Schizosaccharomyces pombe: one gene and its partners. The gene in region 3 interacts genetically with the main gene of each other region. Each region holds a gene or a part of one and is shown on either strand. Other genes may lie near its edges.

Region 1 (4,270 bases), on a different chromosome or scaffold from region 3:
GGGACACATCTCGTAATAATTCCTCTTCAGATTTATATGCACAGAGCGGGATGCACCCAAATATGAATAACGGTCACAGGGGTGCACCTAGAAATAATTCCTCAAATGATTTGCATGCTCATGGTGGTATGCCAGTCAATATGCGTGGTCCTAGGAACACTTCAAGAAACAATTCTTCAAGTGAATTTAATGCGCAAATTCCAATGAATTTACGTAATGGTCCTAGAAACGCATCTAGGAGTAATTCTTCAACTGATTTGTTCGGTCAAAGTGGCATTCCTGGAAATTCCCGTGGTATGCCAACTTCTCCTAACTCCAGAAATAATTCAGCCTTGGATCTCAGTATGCACGGCATTCCACTAGCAAACAACTCTCGCCAATTCAAGAGACCAAGTTATGGAAATATGTCAAGACCTTCTTTTGAGTTAAATGGTAGTCGTAATCCCTCACATGGCAGCCTGAATACCGCCCATGCCGGCATGGGTTATGGTCCTCGCAGTATGATGAGAGACCCTCAAAATTTATCTAATGTTCCCCCTGTTTCAAATACGTTAGATCAGCTTTCAGGCAACGCTGATTTCGAGCTTCCGGTTCGTGGTAACCGTAATAATAGACGGGGACCTGGTGGAAATCGGATGATCCGTTAATGATTATTCAATTGGACATTTTGTCTTCATTCTGCTAGCTTATGTATAATTTGAGAATTGATAGTTTCGGTAAACTGTCGATTTATTCCCTTAGATTGATTCTTTACTCATCTTCTTTCATTTCATTCATTTTACTTTTATTACAATTTTACTATCTCTTTGGCGAACCTATTAATTAAAGGACTGGTTCCTTTTATAAATTTGCATGCACAGTTTCAATTATTCATTTTACTTATCTTTCCATCTCATTAATATTCTTTCAGAATAAGCATGAGAACAATGACGATATATTGGTATTACATTAAAAATAGTTGTAGGAATTGTGTAGTGCTATCGCAAACAGGTACTTTTTTATGGTTTGTAGAGTATGTGTTTTAAAAGATTTTTTGTTGCATTTATATTTACGGGCCAAAGAATACAGTAATGCAAAAATGTATCTATCATCAGTGTATCTTATGAGTTTGGAAAACAACCAATTGATTAAAAAGTATAATTAAAGATGCTAAGTTGATCGTGATCGTTGACAATAAGGCAAACATAAAGAATGAGGACTGGAGGAATTTCTAATTTACACACTAAGGAAGGATAAATACTTTTTCAAACATTATCAGTTGTTAGCTGATCTTTCTTTTTAGAAGCGATCTTTTGTTTGCCAGACGATTTCTTCTCTTTTGTTTTTTTATCAGAGGCATTTTCGGAAGCTTGAGAAGCAGTGCTATTAGAAACGGGGGTTTTTTTTGGCTTCTTTTTAGATTTTTTGCGATCAGAAACTTTATCTTCTTTGATTACAGCAGCTGCAGATTCAGCAGGTGCCTTTGAAGACTTTTTTGATTCTTGTGAGCTTTTACCAGCTTTTGAATTGTTAGATGCCGGCTTTTCAGCCAAGCGTAGCTTTTTCTTAGCCTTCACAGATTTCTTAGATGGTTTTGATTTTCCTTTTTCTACAACGGCATTTTTTTTCTCAGCAAGATATTGTAGTAATGGAGTAGAGGTTTGTAATTTTTCAATAACATCGTCATTGGACGCAGTTTGCGAATAGCTCTCCCGCTGAACCTTGAATTCTTGAAACTTCGGATCTTGTTCAAGTGAGCCTTCTAAACTATCTGCCTTTACTTTAGAAGGAGGAATCTTTTGATATGGAGCAATTGTGACAATTGCCCTATAAGTGTTGTCTAATGCATGTTTGAGTTAAAAAAGAAAAATTTGAATGGTAACAACTTACTCTTCTTATCTATGAAGGTATGTCCTTGGTATACGCGAAAAAATTCCTGAACAGCCGTGGCGGATTGGAACTTCAAATACGCAAAGGATAGCAATTCAGATCGAGTACTACAAAGGCACGATATTAGTAACTATTTGCAAGAAAGGTTAAAGAAATAAATAAATACCCAACAGTTGCTTTCCCTTTGGAGAATCGGTGCCATTCCACGTGTGGTAAAAATGAGTTGATGGATTGGAGAAACACTTGTTCAGGCAAAGTTGGTGGTAAATTAAAAACGAGGACTTTGCATGGTAATCGTTTTTTTGAGATATCAGGAGCCATCTACATACATGCAATGAAATGCTTAAGGTAGTTCCCCTATTATAGAAAATTGGTGATTGATGATAACCAAAGCTTTTTGTAGGGAGGGTACTTTTGCGCTACTTATTTTAAACAACCTTTCCTTCGTTTACCAGACCAATACAGCAATCTGCAATTTACTGATAAGGTTGCAATCATTTAGCCTCGTTTAAATAACTTAAAGAGATGAAGTAGTGCCTTTTTCTAAATGACGTTACGATGTTCTACCAGTTTTCTTATCCAAAATGCGAGACCAATTTGTTCATCGTTACTATACAATTAAGGAATTGATTATTGGGACAGGTAATTGCACTATTGAGTGCTTCAGTAACCTAAATTTTCGCAACTGTGCATTATTTCATATACCGCATTTTTTTGCTATACCGTTATATTTCAGTCTGCTCGAGTAATCGTGCGTTTATACTCGTTTATTCCACTATAACTTTATTTGCAAATGATGCAGAAGCTGCAAGAATCGTCTCATACTCTGAAAACGGTTTTTTCACCATCAATTAGTGCAATCGAAAGACAAATTTGAAAAACATCTGTATGCTCTAATTAAGTCATCACAATGAAAGTAACTGTATTCGGCAATTGCATACAGAATTTACTCTAATGTAAGCGGGAAGCCATCGCTCGACAAGTGATGACGTTTTCTACTCCACATTCGAATAATGTGGAGGAAAAAAGGTGTTAGCGAGTTTGAGACGATCAAAACTTGGTTTTACCCATTGATAGTTAACAAGGTAGTACGGATTAATAAAAGGACACGTCCAGCAAATTCTCAAGCGTTTTCGCTGGATCGTGATGGTTTGGAAGCGAATGTTTCGGCAACTTCGAAATGTTTCGATTTTTTTTGAGTATCGTAACGTAATTCCTTGACTTCGTCAGAATTCGTTCTCCCCGTTTCTCGAAGCATCTCGAGGGTTAGGGTTGGTGAAGGTTCGAGAATGGACAAAGGTACATAAATAGAGGTTGGGGGACGGCGAAAGGGATATCAACAATTCTTCAAACAGCAATTGTCGTTTCGATTGTTTATTTCGTCTTAAATTAAAAAAAGCATTTTCTAAAGCGCATTTGTGCGAATCTATCGTACCTGTGTTATAATACTTATTAATTCACGTTTATTTTGTTTACGAATTTAATTTCATTCCCCCGTTTTTCATTGATACGAATTTTCTTTACGAACTATTAATACATTTCAAATATGAGCAAGTCTATCGGTATTGATTTGGGTACTACTTACTCGTGCGTCGGTCATTTCTCGAATAATCGAGTGGAAATTATTGCCAATGACCAGGGAAATCGCACGACTCCCTCCTATGTTGCATTCACTGACACAGAACGATTGATCGGTGATGCTGCAAAAAATCAAGTTGCTATGAATCCTCACAACACTATTTTCGATGCCAAACGATTGATTGGCCGCAGATTTAACGATCCCGAAGTCCAATCTGATATGAAACATTGGCCTTTTAAGGTCATCGAGAAGGATGGTAAGCCTTTGATTCAGGTAGAGTTCAAGGGTGAGACCAAGACCTTTACACCAGAGGAAATCTCCTCTATGGTTTTATTGAAGATGCGTGAAAGCGCAGAAGCCTTTTTGGGTGGCAAAGTCACCGATGCCGTTGTTACTGTTCCCGCTTATTTCAATGACTCCCAACGTCAGGCCACGAAGGATGCCGGTTTGATTGCTGGACTAAACGTCCTTCGTATCATTAACGAGCCCACAGCTGCCGCCATTGCTTATGGTTTAGACAGAAGCAACCAGCATGAAACCAATGTCCTTATTTTCGACCTTGGTGGTGGTACTTTTGATGTCTCCCTTCTTACTATTGAAGAGGGTATTTTCGAAGTTAAAGCCACCGCTGGTGATACCCACTTGGGTGGTGAAGATTTTGACTCTCGCTTAGTGAACCACTTTGCCCAAGAATTCAAGCGTAAGAACAAGAAGGACATCACTGGCAACGCTCGTGCTGTTCGTCGACTACGTACTGCTTGCGAGCGTGCCAAGCGTACTCTTTCTTCTTCTGCTCAAGCCAGCATTGAAATTGATTCTTTG
Region 2 (4,051 bases), on a different chromosome or scaffold from region 3:
ACTAATATATTTATATACGTTTGTGGTAAGTATACTTTATTCTTTGTATTAGTAAATCATAGCCTTTGTATATTACCATTATCCCTAAAATATACAAACTAAAACAAATCCTTGTGATGCTCCCAAAAAGATTAAAACCTATAATATTAATACGGTTTGAATTGCCGCTTTTCTTTTAATTGTTGGATACGCTGTTTATCGAACTCAAACTTATGAGCTAAATCCAAAAGAGCCTTCTTTTTCTTTTCCCGAAGCTGGAAACGGTAAAAATCTTTGTGGATCCCAGTGTCTTTTTTCTTTTCCAATTGACGCTCAGCATCCTGAGGTCGCCCGACAGGTGCCCGGCCGCTGCGAACGACCGTTACGAATCCATCTTCATCAGGTTGATTTTTCATAGCGAATAGTCTCCTCTTTTCTGCTATTTCCTTTTTAGTAACACGTTTCATGTATGAATCAACACTTTCGGCTAGAACACGTGGATTGACAAACTGTCTATCATAACTTTCTACATAACCTATTAAACACATTAGTATTTCCAAAAAAATAATGACCATGTTCTTACGTTTCAAACCAGTATGCTGTGTGAACTTCCAAGGAAGCGAGGTCGTCTTTTTAGAAGCTGCCTTGATAACTTGTTTAACTTCAGCGGGCTCGACTAATTTGACGCGTAAATGGGTGCCACTTTTCAAAAGGCCACTAATATTAGGATAGATATTAACGATACGACCGCCCAATTGAGAAATTGCTCTTTTCAAAATCTTTTCAGTAGTTGTGATAGGAACATTAATCAAATACAGTGACTTCTTTTCAACATCTTCCGTGTCTTCTTTCAAAAATATACTATGCAACCTCTTTTTATTTTCCAAATAAATTTCTAGTTTAACAAACCCTTTTTCTTTGAGCTTGTCCATTTATATGAGTTGTTTGGTTCTTGGGTAAAATGCAATTTGTTACTGAGCTTGACCGAGGGCAAGACCATAGGAGCTGTATACTCTTATACCTTCGCATACTTCATCTCGTTGTGACTATAATTATTATTATATACAATATACATTAAGAATGTTAGAATAAGCGAAAATTAAACTAAGATTTGCTTATTTTCTAGGATTAAAAAAAAAATGTAATTATACAACTTGTAATTTATTTGCTGCTAAATAAAAGCTCCAAAAAGCAATGTAATAATTGAATTGGGAGCTAGAGGTGTTGGATTGTAAATTAATAAAAAAATACAGCTATATTGATATGCGTGGTTGCTAATTGCATTTAGTGTTCCTAACCAAGATAAACGTTTTTAAAAAAGATCCTTATAGCCTACTCATACAAAGTATAGTGCTCGGTATAGTCATTTAAAAGGATTATTGATATTTGAATAAATTACTGCACACGCTTAAGGTAACTTTTTGCATTATAAAATGGTCATTCAAAATTTTTCGTAATAACAAAGAAACGTTATTGTATACTTCTTGTTCGATTGGACTCACTACCTTCTACGACTTCCCTTATGCAAAATCAGTTTTCCAAAAGTTTGAAGTCTTTTAAGTTCTGAGTTTGGGTTAATTGTAGGGGTTTTGCGTCTTATTGGAGTCACAGGAAGCTCTATAGGGCTAAGTTTTCTCAACGGTGAGGATGAGTCTGCATTAAAATAAAAAGCTTCTGCAGCATCATATTGGTTACTTGCTGATTCTTCAAGAGATATGAAAGAACGGTTTTTACTCACAGAAAGAGAATCCACTGATGTGTAAGGCGAGTAACCCCTCGATGCATCAATAACGTTGATACTTTCCGTAGAAACATTAGACACGTTGTTGATTTCTGTATGACATGATTCTTTTTTCACTTTGTAAGGAGGTGATCTAATTGTATTAGAATGTGATGGATGCTTGTTTTTTGAAGTAGTGGGACCGGTTTTTGAAAAAGTATAGCTGACTATTTCATCCTCTTCTAAATAGTCTGGTAATCGGTAATTATTTTGTGAAAGTAATTTATTATTGTCACTTAAATTATATTTTAAGCATTCAAAGCCCATCGGAGAATCCTCTATACTATAAGTCGACATATTTAACGTAGGATCTGAAGTTTTTAATATCATCAATCTTGCAGAATCATGTCTTAGTTTACTCAATGCTTCTTCAGCTCGCAATGGCAAAGGAAGAGATTCAAATAATTGTTCAAATTTCACTTGGATTCGATCTTCTTTTGGTGCATTATTTATGAACGCGTGCGATTCACTTTGTTCCAACATTTTGCCATGCGATTTATCTTTTTAAAGATATGACTTTAGGTTAAAATGAAGTTTAACAAAGTTTTGAGATTTGGATAAATCCAACTTTTCAATAATTGCTTCATTTAGGTGTTAAGGCTCAAGAAAATTGGTTAGTGAAGAAGGTAAATAAAATCAACGATATATATACTGTAGGTGCTTGCAAAAAATGTCTTCAATGAAAAACCTAGGAATTGATTAAAGGGATGATAAAGACAAAAGAGGTATAGAGTTTATATATACTATTTATTTGATACAGCGAACCGCTGACATTTTGTAGAATACAACTTATGTAGCTTAATTGAATGTTTTGATCGCAAAAAAAGGGTTTCTAGGAATTTTCGATATATTAGAGCTAGATGAGATGAAGTATTAGGAAAATGTTTTTTTTTTCTATATATAGAAATAGCAATACCAATAAACGCGCGACAAATAAGCTTACTATTTACAATGTAAAACAAACATTTCTCTCAAGCTGCGAAACCAATGTGATTTCTAATTCTAAACCATACTTATTCATTCTGTAAGTTCAGAGCGAATATCTTGCAAATTAGCGGAAACATTCATTAATGCTCGTGTGCGGGCAAGCAATGCATTTCCTTACGACTGATATTGTTCCGGCAGTGACCCAAAAAGTCATATGCCTTTGAAACTAATTACAATGTTCAATATCAAATGTATATATGAGGTATTAATTCATAATAATAATTCATTCGTATGAATAACAGCTCAAATATTTTTTATTTTTACTGTATATATTCGTCTATGGATAGAACCGTACAACTAGGAAGGTTGTCCGAGTGGTTATGGAGCTAGTTTAAGGCACTAGTGCGAAAGCTCGTGGGTTCGAGTCCCACACCTTTCAATACTATTTTTATTCTTTTGGATATCTGCAAAATGTCAATGTAAAAAAAGGAGAAAACCGAAATTGATAAATATTTTTTTGAATTCAACTTTAAAACAACTTCATATATTGATCCTTAATAGTTTATCATTTTTGCTGTCTTTACATCACACTATTACAATTTAGTGTATTGTAGCAAACCTTTATTATTCCAAATCCTTTCTAAACAATGTTTAACGAAATACAGTGACTCTCATCAAATCTCTTTACTACCCCCAGCTACATTTCCTAATAAGGTTTTATAAATGGCCTACCATAGGTCATACTGGTTTCACACACCGAATAGGATTCTACAGGTTCAAAGCACTACCGTGCACTCATACTCCATATAATATATTACAGTGTTTATAAGGGTGTAGCATATTTACCTTCTACCACATACAACAACCCCCTCTAGCAATAATACAAAATAAGCAAGCCACTGTTAGTTGATTTGGCTTTCGTACATTCTTCTTGTTTTTTCTTGTGCTGTCTTTATTCAAGATTGAAGTAAATTACTTGTTACGGAAAAACCATCATAATGACTTCTTACGGCAATGGCTTTCGCATGATGGCGAAATGTCTTTTATCTCTACGTTCAGGATATTCAGTCACTGCTCCAGTGTCTAAATCCATGGCCAACGTCCTTTGGGCCCGTTATGGTATGTGTTGTTGATCATGATGTAGATATTGTTTGTTAAAGGAGACGGGATATATATGTTAGTACTCAACTTGCTCATAAGAATCAACTTTTGCTAAGTGCATCTGTCTTAAACTTTATTTTGAATCAAGTGGACGCTGTTGATTTCAAAATAATTAAATAATTCTTCACAAGGTCATATTCACACATGAATAGGAATTCTCAACTATGTTTTCTTCCTTTCACTCAGTATCTTCGGGATTTACTT
Region 3 (7,750 bases):
ATGAGTGCTGCAGCCAAGTATGTGATTCTCTAGTTAATTATTTTCTCACCTCTACCTTTACTAACTTACTCTTTTATTATAGTTTCGACTATACTTGGTTGGATAACAACCGTAAACCCGTCCATTTACCCGCTCCCCAATATATTGAATACGTACTCGCTTGGATTGAAAATAGATTGCATGATCAAAACGTCTTTCCTACAAAGGCAGGCTTGCCATTTCCTTCAAATTTTCTTGTTATTGTTAAAGCCATATATAAACAAATGTTTCGCATTTTTGCCCATATGTATTATGCTCATTATGCAGAAATCCTTCATCTCTCTTTAGAAGCCCACTGGAATTCATTCTTTGCTCACTTTATTGCTTTTGGTAAAGAGTTTCAACTGTTGGATAAACGTGACACTGCTCCGTTAAAAGATCTTATTGTTGTCTTAGAAAATCAAGGAAATATTTAATATTCTTGCCGAAGGCAGGACACACTTCTGTTTTCTACCATTTATCTCTTTTGTTTTCGTCCTTTCCTTTACCCCCTCTTCCCACAAATACCCTCTTCCCTCGAATCCTCTCTCTGCTACACAGGCAGTAAGTTATATGCTAAATTCCTACACTTCCTTTTGTTCGTTTTTCGTTACCACCTTCATTAGCTAATTACTATTTGTATTTCTTGATGCCATTTTCTTTATTTTTACATCCTATTCCTTTTGGACTCTTGGCATATTCGCTTGCATTCACTGATTTCACGGGAATTTTTAAACAGACTTTGGCCGTATTCCTTAGAAATTATCTTCAACGTCCGTTTAGTTTCTTAACTATATCTTGCATTTTATGTGACTCATTCCACATTATTCCTTGATAATTATAAGAGATCTTATCCTTCTCAACAAAAATAATCCGCTAATGCTCTCCTTTCCTATATCTAACCATCAACTTCTTTTTTTAAAGTCCACAGCCTTGCTCCCCTTCTTAACCTTGGACTTGACCGATAAGCAAATTAAAAAAAAGTAAAACTTGTTACAACTGAAATTTGTTTTTGTTTTAATGTCCACTTTTTTTATAGCAGCAATTTACTCAAATGAACTGAAGACGTTTCCAAATTCGACACTTTTAATTTTTCCCTTCAGTCTTTTGTTGGGTTATTGGGCTTACTGATAAATAATTCAAAAAATTGTTTGTGGACGAACAGTGATTATAATTATTTCCTAAATTGAACGTTACATTCTCAAAGGATCGAGTTATGGTCTGACTCTCTTTTTATACTTTACGATAATTCAATTTTTGGGCATACTAATGGATATCCTTTAAACTGAAATAAATCTCAATGTAAATTTTGTTTATTTCTCTTTTAAGATTGCATTGGCTTGATCCTTCACTAGACTAGACTGTGTACGTATCATTGCTAACTTCAATCCAAGCAGATAAAAAAGTCTCTAGCTTATTCGTAAACATATAGTCACGTCAAATAATTAACTACTTAAAACATGTGCCGTGTAGTAAGATAAATTGCAGTAGAGTGAGTCGATTGGCAACATAAAACGAAGAACATTATTGAAACGAGGGAAGGGAAATAATCAAAATTAAAATCTAAAAGACAAATACTTGATCCTCAAGCTTCGAAATGGCTCGGGACTTTTCATATCCCAATGCAACTGTAGCTTCTCTGAGTGAATTAACCATGGGAGTAGGGCCACAAATAAGAACTTTGGTTTCAGGAGAAGGAGCAGGGAAATGCGCCTTGATAAGTTCTTGAGTAACAAATCCAACACTTCCCTTCCAGTTTTCAGGAGGATTGTTCAAAACATAATGAACGGTAAAACGAGGATCCTTCTTAGCAAGTGCGTCAATCTCATCACGAAGAACAATATCACCCTCTGATACATTAGCATATAAAAGAGTGATTTCCGTTGGATCTTCAAAATTAGAAAGAACAGCACGAATGATTTGAAGCATAGGAGTAATACCTGTTCCGCCTGCGATCATGCCAAAATGGCGCGCGAGGCCAGTGCGATGCTTCCAATTTCCCTTAGGGCCACGAACACCGATGGTATCACCAATCTTAAGTTCAGAAAACTTCTTACTCACTTTGCCATTGGGGTAAGACTTTACGAGCAAATCAAAATAACCTTTGTCAGCATCGGAAGACAGAGGAGTGTAAGATCTGGAATACTCCTTACCATCAACATCAACAAAGACCTTTAAATGTTGTCCTATGGGGAGACCAAGAACATCGTTAGCGCGAGGCAGACGGAAACGATAAATGGCAGTGTTGTGGTTCAATACAGCTTTATCACTAAGTTCAAATTGTTGAATTTTATCACTCAATACTTTACGAACGCGTCCACGCCAGAACTTATGAAAACCAAGAGAGAATGCCACAACAATAGCGTAACCCACCCATTCGCGTTTCACAATGTAAGTACCAAAGATGATCAAAAACACTGGAATATAGACTCCATGCAACGGGGTACTAAGAAGAGTTTGTTTGGCCATTTCAATTAGGATTGTGAGCCAAAATAACTAAAGAAAAAGTAGAGAAGCCTGAAAGCAGAAGAAATGCGAAACGTTTCCAGAAGACTCAAATTACAAAATCTTCAAGAAACTAAAATAATTTAAAGAATAAGAAACCTTTCAATAGTTTCAAAAAATTTAAAAGAAATCTCTAGTTTTCACGATTCCTGCAGTATTGCTAACAGTAGAAGTTTGGTCAAGGGCAAGTCTATAAAACTAATCAGATTTCTCGAATGATTTTTTAAGGTCATGAACAACTAAGCATGGAATACTGACGAAAGAGAACATAAATCATCACATAATCCATTTCATTGTAAATTATATAGATTGAGGGCTTTCGCTTCAAAATCTGCTAAAATTATTTATTTTGAAAAACCAGCTTGTCGAACCATACTTGTTCGCAAGCATATGCTTGTTTATCACGCCGATTCATAATTTAAGAAATGAATTAAATTTTAATAACTAAATTTTGTAAATTCGTTAATAAATAGTCTTTCAGCAATGATCTACTACCGGAATACATGAGATATATCCATCTATTTATATATAATTCGGTATACAGTTTGGAAGTGAAACACCGTCTCTGAGGAACAAGCATTAAAAGACAGGTAATTGTTTCCAAGTAAGAAGAAGCAATTTAAAAACCCTAGATCCATCAACTTGCATTACTTAACATCACATTTTTTAGTAAAGGACCAGTGTAGGCACTAAAAGGAAGAACCCCAATAGCATCCAATGTTTCCTCAGGTTTTCAAAATTTTTGTTAGCGAAAGATACAGGAGCAGTATAAAGCCCTGCATTGGGGTCTCCTGTTGATGATCCTCCATTCGAAGCCTTAAAGACTTGAAGCGATTTTAAAAGTAAGGGAGCTTGAATAGCTTCCAATGCAGACATTTGCTCTCCAAGGCCATAAAGTCCTATTATAAAGTTAGAACCAATACTGTTTTTTTTTAACAGTCAAACATACCATCCCAAGTATCGTTATTCCACCACCATTGAACACCACAAGTCACTCCATCATAACCGCCGCAACATGCCCCGGCTGCAGCTTTGGCGGTGGATATCAACAATGGTTCTAATAACGGTGCAGTGAATGGAGCCATTTGTGCCGTGTAGACCATAAATCTGGTCAAAAAGCCTTTGAAAGACGTTTGATCATAGTTACATGAAAGAGCTATTTCACATACTGGTTCGAACATAATATCCTTGAAAAAAAAGGTTTTGGCAGTTTTGTTGGCAAAACCTTCAACTCGAGTTTTCCATACCGTAGAGTTCGTCTGGTGAAACTGTTAGTTACAATCATTTTGCATTTTACAGTAAAGTTATAATGTATATATCCTTTAAACGTACATAGTTATACATGTAAGCTGCTCCTGCCATGTATAATCCTATATTGTAAGTCCACTGAGTAATTTCGATAGATGAGCAATTATCTTTTATAGAACTCCCATCAAATACAGTGTAATCTTCTTGAATAAACCCAATCCTTTGGCTCCAATCGTATGCTACATTAGCCCACTCAGCATAAGTATCGTTATCGGTGAATCGAGCCAGTCGAGCTGCAAGCTGAAAAAATGCTCCATTTGAGACAGTGTTCTTATAGTTGTACCCAGAGTTAAATTCAGTAATCTGCCATCGAAGACCACCGTTGCAATGATCCGTGTCCCATCGTGTGACCTGTTGGTTGAATACAGCTTGAGCCAGTTCCAACCATTGTGGTTCATCGGCTGCTGGATTTGAAAAGTTTGCTTCAGCGGCAGATATAACGGTCAGACCCCAAAATGCCTGATCGTCATTTCCCTCAGATGTTGTATAATTCGAAGGCATATAATCTGAATCCTCTCCAGATTGGTACAACATGCTGGTCTTTACCAACTCGTTATATGTACTATTACCAGTGGCAATGTATCTATTTAAAAGTCCCTAAAGCCATTGTTGTTAATAAATTATACTTTTAAGCTCAACGTACATTCCAAGCAGCCCCGGCTTCCCACCAGTAGGCTGGAGGAAGGAACATCCCGATAGTTCCTCCTTTGTGCTGACCAGCATAATAATTCAATAATCCATCAGCTACTAAAGAAGTGGCTAAGTCAACGGAGGACGTGTCATTCAAATCCACCGAAATGGCTTCAGCGAAGGAAAACAAAATAGTTGCAAGTGAAATAAAGATTGTAAGACTCATTGAAAAAGAAGGATTAAATAGAGTAGTATCTTTGAAGATTCCCATATGTATCCAGATGACTGTCGCCCTTCATATGATTCAATGATGACTCATTAATGACTGATAGAAATAATCTAAACAGTAAACAACGAACGACCAAAGGTAGGGAAAAAATATAACTTAACGCAATCTATCTTCTATAAAATTCTTAAGCCTTTCAATGAAAATACTCTCACATTTATTCGTGAGACCGACAGCCCCATGCATATCACAATGAGCAAGAAGGAAAACCTTAGAAAAAATACATCAAAAAGGTATTATTTAAATTGTGTCTTTTTGTTTTAACCGCAATTTTAACTGTTTGAATATAACAGTTTGTACATGGTATCCCAGTACTTTCTAGCGGTGGACTTATTTCCTCGTTCGTTTAGAGTATGTTCTTGCCTTTTCTTTTTTACCTTCCTTTCCCTCAATTTTCGGTTTTTTTAAACTGGATATTGTCTCCTTAACTGAGCGTAAAGTTTCATCGTGAAGTTCGAACTTTTCATATAGAGAGAGACAAAAGGACTTCAACTACAAATAAAATTAGTAATTTATTCTTCTTAAAGTTTATTTTTCTCTACTATATAAAGAATCACTGTACATGCCTTTATAATGTCCTCTCTCATTTCTAAATCAACTTGATACCGTGTAAGGCCTTCAGGATTTACGGTCTTATTACCTAGTTGGTAGCTTCACTGGGGTTAGTAACTAAGATGAAATCATGAACTTACGCTTGTAATTTGTCCATTGAAAAAGTATACATATCTCTACATGATTTTGTTAAAATTTGGTCAACCAAGTACGACTAGACATACCTAATATCATCAAGATATATAGGTGTAGAATTATACACCTTCCCAATCACTTCATTGCATCTAGTACAACTCAACTCTGAATAGACGCTATAATTTTTGTATTAGTAAACTGGCGAGCAACACATGCAACATACCAAAGACCATCATCACTCCTTTTAAACGTATCCTCAACGCGTACACTATTTTCTACTGCATCTAAATGAAATAATTAATTACATGGACATTTCTTTTACCACATACCACTCAAAGTGAAACTAAGATATTCTCGATGAGAAATAACCCAAGCATTAGAATCACCAACTATTTGAAAACATTTTTTACATTGGAAGACGCTAGGTTGTGACTCTTTTTTAAAATCAATATAGCCCGAATGACTAGTTTCCGTCTGGGACATACTTATGGAAAGTTCATTTTATCTAGTAGTAGTCGTTATTAATTAGGTGCGCTTAACATTCTATATATGGTGAACCAATATATATCAGATGTAGAAGCAAAAATTAAATATATTACAAAATTATAAAAAAATAAATTACTCATAGTCCTTTAACTGTTTTCGGAAGAAGGAATAAAGACGCCTTCCTGCTTCGGGGCCAATTAGTTCTGACCATTTTCTTTCTGAGGTTTCGGAAGCTTCTTGAATATCTTTCACGCCTCCATAAAACACATTTCTGTAGTTTTTCATAGTTATGTATGGGAGTCCCATTAGCAGGTCGAGTGGAGCTTGATTATAAGTATTCGTTGAGTCTTGCCCAGCTTCCAAACCTATAGAGGCAGCTGAAGCAGGATCTGGTTCTTGTTCCATGGCTTTCAAATCTTGAAAAATAATTGATGTAACGTAGGCACTAGAAGACCAAACAATCCTTAAGTTGGGAAACGATAATGTTAACAGTACCAGTTTAGATTGAACATCATTTTTTCCAATTTCGCTTGAAAGGTCGGAGAAAGGCTAAAAGCTGTCAGACATAGATTGTTTTAGTCAGACTTACTGGAGATGTAAAAGATTGGTGTTGTTCGAATTCAATTAACAAAACTGGAATTTCATAATATTCAGTCATAGCTTCACATTGGGAATAAAGACGGCCATTGCTTAATGATTGGATCAAATCTCTAATTGACTTCCTTTCAACACAGATCTTTGGTGATAATATATAATCTCCCACTAAGAGTTGGCAAGGGATAACAGAAAAATTATTTCCATGTAATATGGAAGGTAACGAACTACGGAATTCCCTCAAGTCAACGATAACCTTTAACGTTTTAATACATATAAACATAAGATATAATGAACGTACCCTAGGTTTCTCATTTGTGATCGATAACTGTCCTCCTCCAGCTATACGAGTATTGACATTTCTTAAAAACTTTGACTCTTGGCTTTCGAACCTTTCGGAATCAGCCGTCAGTACGATAGCCATATTCTTTTTAGATTAGCAAGTTTTGAAAAGTTTAGAATAACTTACAGATCGTTCTTTAATAAGACGAGAGAATGAATCTTTCTCTCTCCTTACAGAAAAAAGATATTTTTGCTCCTCAATCGATCCTCCATAGTACATAAAATAAACCCTTAGAGATCTTTTGGGATATGTAGCTTTGTAAACCTCGACTCTTCGAATAAAATTGGGATCAGAATCGAACATAATAACGTACCGAGGTCTTAAATTATTTAATACTAACTCATCTCTTTCACCATTGTAGGAATAGATATAGATGGAATTGAAATCATCAATAACTTCAAATGCATCATTGCCCACTTCAGGTTCATAACGTTTGGATAAGTGTGAGAGCAGACTAGACTTATTAGCGTGTAAAACCTAATAATTAGCGTACATTTTCTCTAGGCGTAAATCCCTACTAAAAGAATCATTCGCATCTGTATTATCAGAAGTTGTGCGTGAAGTGGCATTGTTTCCACCTCTTACCCTTCTTCTCTTTGAAGGTGGAACACCTTTTCTAGACGTTGTATTAGAAGCCTCTCGCTCCTTGGAAGGCTCTGGTTTCTTGATTGATTTACTCATCTTTCTATATTGTTCTCTCCATTGAAAATAGTCCACTAATTTGCTATTCATATTTTTCAAAGAGTCTTTATTGTCGTAAGTCACCGTACTCAAATAATCACGTAACTGTAAACAAGTACGCTCATCTGCGCACATAATCATTATCGAATTATTGGATGTTTCTGAAAGATTTGTTAATATTTCTTCCTTTAAAGAGAGTTTTTTTTATACCT

The links. A genetic interaction does not mean that the proteins touch.
Region 1: of mis18 (region 3) and upf3, a mutation in one rescues a mutant of the other (synthetic rescue), as found in Schizosaccharomyces pombe (one study listed by BioGRID).
Region 2: mutations in mis18 (region 3) and mis20 impair growth when combined (synthetic growth defect), as found in Schizosaccharomyces pombe (one study listed by BioGRID).

The regions. Positions count from the first base shown.
Region 1 is NC_003424.3:2,296,899-2,301,168, reverse strand, and holds upf3 (protein upf3), read right to left. Parts: upstream 2,271-4,270; 5' UTR 2,191-2,270; coding exon 2,036-2,190; exon of another isoform or gene 1,977-2,035; coding exon 1,870-1,976; exon of another isoform or gene 1,820-1,869; coding exon 1,245-1,819; 3' UTR 1,101-1,244; downstream 1-1,100. Other genes in the region: protein Mac1, read left to right, coding at 1-647; heat shock protein Ssa1, read left to right, coding at 3,416-4,270. UniProt on the Schizosaccharomyces pombe protein: Involved in nonsense-mediated decay of mRNAs containing premature stop codons.
Region 2 is NC_003423.3:3,208,213-3,212,263, reverse strand, and holds mis20 (protein Mis20), read right to left. Parts: upstream 2,379-4,051; 5' UTR 2,243-2,378; coding exon 1,481-2,242; 3' UTR 1,101-1,480; downstream 1-1,100. Other genes in the region: rRNA processing protein Rrp7, read right to left, coding at 147-514, 563-911; kgd2 (dihydrolipoyllysine-residue succinyltransferase), read left to right, coding at 3,685-3,805.
Region 3 is NC_003421.2:508,854-516,603, forward strand, and holds mis18 (kinetochore protein Mis18), read right to left. Parts: upstream 5,955-7,750; 5' UTR 5,918-5,954; coding exon 5,764-5,917; exon of another isoform or gene 5,719-5,763; coding exon 5,658-5,718; exon of another isoform or gene 5,611-5,657; coding exon 5,524-5,610; exon of another isoform or gene 5,476-5,523; coding exon 5,440-5,475; exon of another isoform or gene 5,399-5,439; coding exon 5,314-5,398; exon of another isoform or gene 5,258-5,313; intron 5,240-5,257; coding exon 5,078-5,239; downstream 1-5,077. Other genes in the region: protein kinase activator Mob2, read left to right, coding at 1-17, 83-455; cbr1 (cytochrome b5 reductase), read right to left, coding at 1,582-2,487; dcw1 (mannan endo-1,6-alpha-mannosidase), read right to left, coding at 3,190-3,422, 3,473-3,782, 3,856-4,428, 4,475-4,687; rad16 (DNA repair endonuclease XPF), read right to left, coding at 6,053-6,469, 6,510-6,770, 6,816-6,941, 6,984-7,311, 7,351-7,699, 7,749-7,750. UniProt on the Schizosaccharomyces pombe protein: Component of the CENP-A recruiting complex that ensures the integrity of mitotic spindles through maintenance of kinetochore factors mis6/CENP-I and cnp1/CENP-A. Maintains the deacetylated state of histones specifically in the central core of the centromeres.